2 linked regions of the Schizosaccharomyces pombe genome follow. The gene in region 1 interacts genetically with each later gene. Each region holds a gene or a part of one and is shown on either strand. Other genes may lie near its edges.

Evidence for each region. A genetic interaction does not mean that the proteins touch.
Region 2: mutations in trm61 (region 1) and SPOM_SPCC576.02 together harm fitness less than expected from each alone (positive genetic interaction), as found in Schizosaccharomyces pombe (one large-scale study listed by BioGRID).

The regions. Positions count from the first base shown.
Region 1 is NC_003424.3:1,991,481-1,996,696, reverse strand, and holds trm61 (tRNA (m1A) methyltransferase complex catalytic subunit Trm61), read right to left. Parts: upstream 3,041-5,216; 5' UTR 2,768-3,040; coding exon 1,673-2,767; 3' UTR 1,490-1,672; coding exon of another isoform or gene 549-1,489; 3' UTR 507-548; downstream 1-506. Other genes in the region: Swr1 complex/NuA4 histone acetyltransferase complex subunit Swc4, read left to right, coding at 14-219, 284-372, 429-506, 549-1,489; mitotic septin Spn4, read left to right, coding at 3,768-4,910. UniProt on the Schizosaccharomyces pombe protein: Catalytic subunit of tRNA (adenine-N(1)-)-methyltransferase, which catalyzes the formation of N(1)-methyladenine at position 58 (m1A58) in initiator methionyl-tRNA.
Region 2 is NC_003421.2:2,079,941-2,084,527, reverse strand, and holds SPOM_SPCC576.02 (hydantoin racemase family protein), read right to left. Parts: upstream 2,822-4,587; 5' UTR 2,659-2,821; intron 2,617-2,658; 5' UTR 1,882-2,616; coding exon 1,171-1,881; 3' UTR 501-1,170; downstream 1-500. Other genes in the region: SPOM_SPCC576.19C (uncharacterized protein), read left to right, coding at 2,922-3,281; alpha-ketoglutarate-dependent xanthine dioxygenase Xan1, read left to right, coding at 3,866-4,587.

The DNA of each region.
Region 1 (5,216 bases):
AGTTCAAAATACAATGACTAGTGCTGACATTCGGGATGTCTTTGAATTACCTCCTCCTGAAATAGGAAATAAGCAGAAATCTAAAACTCCAACAGAGAGAAGGCCAGAAGGAATTTCTCGAGAACTTTATTCATTGCTAGGCGAGAATTCTGCCCCGTTAGCAATATACCAAAAGAAATTTAAGGAAAAACCAAAAGTTAGTCACAAAGCTAAAAATTGGTGAGTAAATCAGAGCTCAAATAAATAAATTTGTGTATTCAGTAAGGAATTTACTAATTTGTAGGGTACGCCAGCCCTTTTCCATATCAAGCCGTAAGGATGATTTTACTTTGCATCATTGGGTCCTTAAATCAGAAGTAGATTCTGAAGCCTGTATGTTTGAAATTTTATTTGATAAGCGCTTGGTTAAACTAACCTAAACTGTGTAGCATACAAATTTGAAAAATTTAACGTCCCTCTGTTTATAATTGACTACACCGACGAAGAGTACCAAAATTATTTAAAAGGTTGAGATTCTCTACTATATTTCATTAACTAATTTGTTGTAGATGAGGATTGGAATAAAGATGAAACCGACTACCTATTCCGTTTATGCAAAGATTATGACTTGAGGTTCTTTGTAATAGCAGATCGTTATGATAATGAAAAATATAAAAAACATCGAACGCTTGAAGATTTAAAAGACAGATTTTATTCTGTGTCGCGAAAAATTCTATTAGCCAGGAATCCCATTAATTCAATGACTGCTGCACAGAGCTCTTTGTTGAATACGATGGAGTACAATAAAGAGCAAGAAGTTATTCGGAAGAAGTATCTAATTGGGCTTGCTTCTAGGACGCCTGAAGAAGTTGCAGAAGAAGAAGCTTTATTTATTGAATTAAAACGTATTGAAACATCACAGGCTAAATTATTAAGTGATAGAGACGAAGTTCTCCGTCTATTAGATGAACAGAAAGGAGATGGTGGCATTCATGAATATCACACAAGTGCTGGAATGAGCAGTTTAATTCAAGATATGATTAATTCTCAAAGAACCAAAAATAAAGTGGAGGAAGCTATTGTATCTTCTTCAGCCCCTTCTTCTGGAGTGTCTAGTGTTTTAAATACCCCTACTCGTCCACATGCTCTCAGCACACCAAGAATCAGATACGGTCCGCAACCGACAGATCCACAATTTGGCATCACTTGGCACGAAAAACTACATCCGGGCACTTTTGTTCGTTCCCAAAAAATCCCTGCCATAAAGGCTTCTTTATCGCAGAGAGTTTCGTCAGTTATGACTGAACTAGGAGTTTCTTCAAGGCTGATTATGCCGACAGCTAAAAACTTTGAGAAGTTCGTTGAGCTACAAAACTCAATCGTTTCGCTACTGGAACTGAAAAGAAAGGTAGATAGACTATCTCAGGAAACTGAAATTCAGGACAAGTTGAGCCGTAAACGCTCAGCTTCTCCTGACGGCTCCGAGAGTAAAAAGCACATAAGTCAATAATTCTATGACATTATACTCGATCTCAATTTGGGTAGTTACGTTTTTATAATAACAAGTTTTGAATGTTTGACGCGTTAATATTATTTTTTGTACCCTGTATGTCATTTACCGTGCCTGTGTGTCCTTTGGAGTACTTCGGCCTATTTTCACTAAATTTCTGTTTTGCATAAATATGAAAGTTATCTAAGGGCCTGTCTCCTGGTTCTGTTTATCTAGCTGAGATGGCAAATGCACCGCAAATAGCAAATAACTGGTGTGTGATTTTAAGTTAGAATCAACTCTTGCAACATCTGTCCATTCGTAATTTCCATCACCTTCTCTAATGCGTTTGTTAGTAACGGGCTTTAACGCCGTTTCTGTGGACACAGAAGACTTGTTTTCACCAAGCATTGAATCGTTATCTTGATCTTCTACCTTCGCATCAGAAGATAAGTTTTGTTCACGCCTCATTTTTCTTCTCTCAAATCCTTCGATCCTCCTTCTTTTAACCTCTTTTAGCCTATCGATTGCTTCGTCAATATGAACAATTCGACTCTTACGAGCAGCCCATTGCTTATAATCAACTTCAATCATTTCAATATCACACCAGCCAAGTTCTCGTAGTGCTTCAGCAGAATGTTGAATTTGTTCTATACAAGGAGAAAAACAACAAATTCGAGTGCTTTTATCATGATTTACATGATTCGAAAGATGCGGTATTGCTTCCCAGGGAGCTGGAAGGTCTAAAAATATAGCGTCAACCTTTACCTCCGTATCCAAAAAACCATCTTTGCAGACATCTCTATGAGTTAGATGAGTATTTCCACCCACATCAATTAACATCTCGTGTTCCCGAAATTCTTGTAACGCTGTTTGATAGCGAGTTGCGTGATATTCGAAAGTAAATAATCTTCCAAGAGGGCCGACTGTTCGCGATATTGCGTGTGACATGCTAGCACTACCAGTACCAGCTTCTATTACTCGGGTTCCGTAAGTGATACGAAGCTTTTGGTGGATTAAAGCAATATCTGGAGTGTAAACAATTTGTGTTCTGTGAGGAAGAGCGAGGGTCCATAGTTCCGGAGTTGGTTGAAGAAGGTAAATAAATCCTTGCTTCGCTGTAGATGCAATTTGCTCGCCGTACCTTTTACCAATCATTTCGGAATGTGGGAAGGCACCATATTGATTATGAAATGTTTTTTCAGCTTCTATATGTAAAGGAATCAACTTGTTCCTACCAATCCAAGCTACTGCCAAATCGCCATTTTCAACACGTTGTTTATAGTCTGCAAATACCATTATAAATTTCAAAAAAACATATAATATATATATATATATATGTATTACGAAAAATTAGAAGGTAGTGTTATTTAATTGCGTTTTAACAAATCAATATAATTAGCCAAAGAAAAATTGGGACTTAATTTTTCGTTGGTCTAAATTACCGGGTGCATTCACGATTATTGAAGAGTTAATAAAATAAGTCAGTGTGAAGTATATGAAGATCCGCTCAAATCTGTAATTTTAAATCATACAAGACTGAAGTAAAGAAGTTTTTAAAACTAATGTGTTGAGATAAATTTTTTTAGTCTTTTCAAGATATTATGGTTAACCTATCCCTACGCCCACTATGCTATTATTTTAGTTAACATTTGTTTAGTGTAGCCATGTTTCATTAGTTAAATATTAATAACGATATCTCACATTAACTCTCAAAGCTACGAACGTAAAATTCGTTAAATAATTTAGAAAATGCTATCAATGCTGCCGTTAATTACTATGCTGCCACGAATTAACTTTACACTGCAACAAGTTAGTACTTGTATATCAACTAAAACAACGATTTTGATCATCATATTACCTGTGTAGTAACTATTTTCTTGAACAATATAATGAACATTAAATCAATAACTTAAATGCATACTTCCCAGCAATCTATTTCTGTTACGTAGTATAGAGGTTTTTATATATTTGCCAAGCATAATTTCTGGCATTCAGAATCTTTATGAAATTTAATGAGCAAACTAGTAATGATAGTTAGTATATTTACGAGACGAAAGCCCGTTAAAAATATAATGAGGTATAGTGATCATATAGTTATATCGCTAACGAGTGATTGCAACGAAGCTTCGATTATCTATTTACTTAGACCTTCCGTTTTTTACCATTTATGCTTTAATAAAACTAATAACAATTCTCTTGCATTTTTTGGAAACTTTTTTATTTAGTTTGGAAGCTTTTAAGTCAATATTTTACAGACCGTTAAACAAAGGAAATATACTATTCATCTCTGCGCGTCATGAATGAAGAAGAGACAAACTTCGTTGGAATTGCGGATTTACCTAATCAGCGTCACAAAATAGTTTCACGAAATGGTGTAGCTTTCACTTTGATGCTTTGTGGAGAGTCGGGTCTTGGTAAAACAACATTTTGTAATACACTCTTTTCAACAACAATTAAATCACATATGGGCCCGGAAAAGGTTCGTGCGAAGCATGCTGAGAAAACGGTCGAAATAGAGATTACAAAAGCTGAGTTAGAAGAAAAAAATTTCCACTTAAGGTTGACAGTAATTGATACCCCTGGTTTTGGGGATTTTATCAATAATTCAGGATGTTGGGAGTCGGTAGTTGAATTTATAGAAGACCAGCATGAATCGTACATGAGACAAGATCAGCAGCCAGATCGTCGTAAGATCATTGATATGCGTATTCATGCTTGCCTATATTTTTTGCGTCCCGTAAGAAATGGTGTTCGGCCTATGGATTTGGAGGCTATGAAACATATTTCTAAGCGTGTCAATTTAATTCCTGTCATAGCTAAAGCCGATATGTATACTCGAAGGGATTTAGCTCTGTATAAAACTAGAATTTCTCAAGTTTTAGAATACCATCAAGTCAATGTTTATAAACCTAATATGGATGAGGGCGATCCCGTTTTTCACAGACAAATTCAAGGAATCATTAATTGCATGCCATTCGCGATTGTTGGAAGCGAAGATGACATCCGTACTCCTGATGGTAGGGTCGTTAAGGGTAGAGAATACCCATGGGGAATTGTTGAAATTGAGAACGAAGAACACTGCGACTTTAAACAGCTTAGGAATATTTTAATTCGGAGTTGTATGCTTGATTTGATTCAAACTACTGAAGAAAAGTTGTATGAGCAATATCGACAAGAGCAGATGAAAGTTCGCCAGTATGGAGAACCTAAACTGCGGACTATTGATAATGCGAAATTTAAGGAAGAAGAAGAAAATTTGAGAAAAAGATTTACAGAACAAGTGCGCGTAGAAGAAACTCGATTTCGACAATGGGAACAACGCTTGATTGCCGAACGCGACTCATTAAATAAAGATTTGGAAGCTCAGCATGTTCAAATAAAACAAATTGAACTTGAAATCGAACGACTAAAGGCGGCTACCAGCTCTCGCAAACGTTAGAGATAATGTTAAAATATAACGAAACTTGATACCCAATTATCATTTGGGTTTGTTTGCTAGTGAACCATACTATCATCTTTTATGGTCCTTCATTTCTAATACATAATGTCAAACGTCTATCTTGCCTCCCGTATAAATTACATTCTTTAGACAATCAATTAACTATATGATTTTATTTTATTTTTTCTATGCCTTTATACACTCTTTTATTGTGGTTTTATTCAACGTATAGTACATATGCTTTCATAAGTTGCTCAATTTTTATATAATTTTGATATCGAATAAATTTTCTGTATCTTATAAAAT
Region 2 (4,587 bases), on another chromosome or scaffold:
CAACCTATGTTTTAGTTTATACCAAGAAAATGGAACCTAAAAAAATTAAATCCTCTCATTGTTTTGCTTTGCGTCTATCGTTTTGTAACGCACCGACACGCACTGACATACCAAGTGACTTGCTACCTCAGATTATCTGGGGTAGACTTCGGTGGTTAAAAGAAGGTTAGTCCGTGGATTTCACTCCCTTCACCCGCATCTTCCTTATCAGGCCCAAAGGGAGTTAAACGAGTTACGCTCGTTGCGATAACATGTAAGCTACGCAGTTTGGTATCTGATTTAAGGATACGTAGAACTGCGGTGAGTTTTCCTTGTGGTCTATTATATTACAATACACAGGTTGTATAAGTAGCAACTGAGTATAGGTATTGTATTAACTGGGTTATAATGTTACCTATCACTAATATAGCTCATAACTGAACTGAGGAACGAGGTTCAGTTGTAACGCTATTTATAATATTTCTAAATACTTGTATCAACGGGTATCTATGTATATAGAAGGATAGTTACCCGTGATTATCAATAAACGGATCTTAGCTAGTATTCCAACATATGACATATAGTGATACGCAACGTAGTGTAGCATAGCGTAGTGTAGTATTGCTGACATAACGAGAATTTTCGAGATATAAAGAAGAATAGGTTTTCAGTTCATTCAAGTCAATATAAATGGATAGAGATACATAAAATAGAAATTTTAATTGTAGTCGCATTTTATTTTTTATTATTAGTAAAATAATATTTTACTTTGCCTCGTACCATATAGCTCATTCACAGCCTTCCAATGTTTCTAAACTGAAGAAGACTGGAAAAAGGCGAATGTAAAGAAATACAACAGTATAAACGAGATTGACTGCTTCCCAAAATGATTTTTTAAAAGGATGTTTGTAAATCTGCTTGTATCCAACACACTGGGCATACAGTGAAAAGTTATTCTTATGAAACCAATGTGTCAATACGCTTTGTAAACAATGACAGAAAAGAATGTATCAAGAGGTAATGGTTGTAATTATCACGTTATAGATAGGTATGTAATTATTGATATAAATCAAGAGAAAATGTATACGTATCCAGGAATATCAACCTTTGTCGTACACATTATTATGTGTGTGTATGTGATATAGCAGCATCAAACTGGTTTGCTAGATCTAAAAACATATGGACATCTCTTTATGGATACGTATAGATGCCAAACTTTGATGTATGAAGATTTTGACGAGCTAGGCCAGCAAGTAACTCAACAGCCGCATGTACACCATCAATGATGGGAATATTGGGACCTACGGCAACCTGAATCTGATCACGAATAGCTGCTAAAGCAGCACCACCTAAACAAATGACATCTGCACCCTTTGTGTTTGCCAGTTCTTGGGCCTTTTGGACAAGAAGGGTTTCACGCTCTTGTGAAGGCATTTGCGAAAGTTGCAAAACTGTGCGACCTGTAGAAGCAATGGCGGCCACTCGAGTGCGCGAAACACCAAAAGAATCGAGTAATTCGTAAAGCAAACATTCGGAACGATATGTACTTGTAAGGATGCCGATGCGCTGACCAACCGATAAGGCACTGAGGACAGACGCTTGCACAATGCCCATGCAGGGTAAAGCAAATGACTCACGAATCATGTCGACTAGAGGAGTGGGGGAATAACAGGCAACAGCTATAGCATCGACACCATCCAAGACACTAGGAGTTAGGGCTTGGAAGACTAGAGCAGCTGTCAAGGTTGCCTCTGTGATGGAGTCGATGACAGCAGCACCGGGTTGAGGACAAGTTAGAAAGCGCAACTTTACATCTGAAGGCACTAGGGGAACGAGTTTTTCTTCCATGGATGTTGTGATGAAGGTGGAAGAGTTTGGATTGATGACGAGAATGGTAGGCATGATGAGAGAAAATAGAAAGGTAAGAGACGAAGAGAAAGAAGGTAGAGAAGAGAAAGCGAAGAGAAAATAGTAAGAAAAAGAGCAAGCAAAGGGGAAATAGTAGAAAAAAAAAAAGTAAAAGAGAATGTTGAAGCTGAATTTACAGAGACACAAAAAATAATACAGTTTATTGGAAAATAAACCTTTTTTCTAAACTGTTTGTCAAAAACTAAAATTGAAAAACCAGTGTCACAATTTATTATAAAGTGTAGAAAATCGAGTTTCCAACAAAATGGCTTGAAAAACGAAAAATATTTTTAACAAGTAATGACTAAAATAGATTTGATCGTTTGTTTGGTTTTTGCTTATTTACTCTTAGTAGACTAGACTCGACTAGACAATCTATTTCAAGGTTGATGACTAAAAATGCTGTTTCAAGCTGCTGTAGACTGCAATTGAAATTGTCTACAGAATTGATAAGACGCAAATCAAGTGTAAGGGGTTGTTTGAGTAAACTTGGAAACTCCGTTTCCAAGTTGTTCAATGTGCACTCTGATAATGAACACAGTCGGACCCGAAGAGGAGATGAGACTGATGACTAGTAAACAGCGTCAGTGAGTAGCAGCAACGATGGTACTGATAGTATAGGTGATTGAAAAGTTTGTAGGACAATGTTGGATTGCTATGCTATACTTGAGCTGCCTTTGGAATGTTGGTCAAGCAAAGCACAAGCACCACTAACCACCAGACTTACTACTAGCGCTGTTAGGATTATGTAATTGAAATATTCTCATTTACCTGCAAAACGTTAAATCTTCTATATGCACTATCTCCCACTTTACTCTTTTACCGATTCTTTCCCACTCGTTCTACACTTGCAAACTCGAGTCCGAAGCCCGTTCCAACTCGCACCCTGTCCCACTAAAAATCGCACTCCAGAACATCGGTGCTTAGTCTTCTGGTCAAGAAATTTCCGCCGATTGTCTTAATGAATTCCCCTCAAACCTCAATTTAAGTCATCACCTAGACGGACGGGTGCGACTTGGGTATTCCCCCTATCGATGCCTACTTCTTCCAATGACCTTTACCAAACAAGACTTGATGTGCAGACGCCAAATCGATGGTTTCTTTACATTTCATTAGAATTGTTTAACAACATGTATTCTCCGTTTCGTAGCAGCTCAGTCTTACTCAGTGGTGCTCAGTCCGATATACCGAAGGTTGGCAAATGCTTGTTTTTGCCATGCCGCTCACTCGAATTTAGAGCATCGGCAAACTCACTTAGCGTACATTTCCTACTCAATGTAATTTCAGCAATCTTATCTATGTTGATAGAGAGGTATGCGGTAGAAGTGATAATGAGCAAAATTACATGGCCCAGGAGTAATGAGGATTGGAGGTTCCATGGTATAAAAGGTTGATGTGAATACCATGTTGTCTCATCAAATCAAAAGAAAAACTCACTGAAGAGAATCACACTGACCATTGTTCGTCTTGTGCTTCTGCTACAATTGATTTGAATTGAAGTTCATAATAATACCTGGGTGATACAACATCTACGTAAAGTCTTCAATTACTGCTACTCTCCGTAAAAACAACTAAATATTCGTAACTTTTCTCGCTGTCCCAGCTTGTTTACTTGCTCCGATAGCATTGTGCATTATTGACTTGTGTAAATTTCCTTTCAAATCTTAGTTTAATTTCGTTTTGAACAGCCAATACCCATCGTGTGTTGCTATAATCCATTGTTATAGATTTTCGAAAAGAAACAAACATTCGAAAACCACTCTACGCCATTGTTATCAATAAACGAAACGATTGTTGTGAATTTTCGACTTTTGCTCCTCTACTTGTCCAAAGTTGAACTCTACTAGTTTAAACGTTTTTAAGGTTATCAAGAATACCTTTTTTCTCATATTTTTTTTTCAATCCTCCTTTATTACTCGTTTCGTAAGAGAACCCATCTTGTTTCTTACCAACTTTTCTTTAAATTCTTCGTTCAATCATGTCTGCCACTGCTACTACTACGGTTGTGGAACCTCCTACCACCACTTTGACTGGTGCTACCGAGCCACCATTTACTGCTTATACCACTTCTCAAGGTCTTCGTGTTTCCCCTGTTCCATTGCCGGAACACAATACTGATGTTGGATTTGGTGCTTTGATCGAAAATGTTGACTTGAATAACCTCTCGGATGAACAATTCGAAGATATCCGTAAGGCTCTTTTCGAACATCAAGTGGTTTGTTTCCCCAATCAACACAATTTACCCCCAGAGACTCAGTACGCTATCACCCATCGCTTTGATCCCGAGTCTTCTACCTATGGTCACGGCAATCGTACAAATCAGCAAAACAACAGCATCTTACATCCCGATTTGCACACCCTTCCCGGTGTTCCTCAAGTACAACTCATTGGTCATGGTGTTGTGAAGGATCATTACGGTCTTGAAGAGGTCCGACTTAAACATCCTCATCATCGAACTTTCCATCGTGATCCCATTTCTGAGGAGGAAGAAAAAGAAAAACAAGTCACCCGTTTTTATCGTTGGCATATCGATGCTGCCCTTTATGACTATAACCCTCCTGTAGTCACTACCCTTCTCGCCGTTAATGCTCCACAAGGCACCCAAACTCTTCGATATGATGATAAGTCTGGCCATGAGATGCCTGTTCCATTAGGTTCGACAGCTTTCGCCTCAGGCTATCGCATGTACGAATTGCTCAC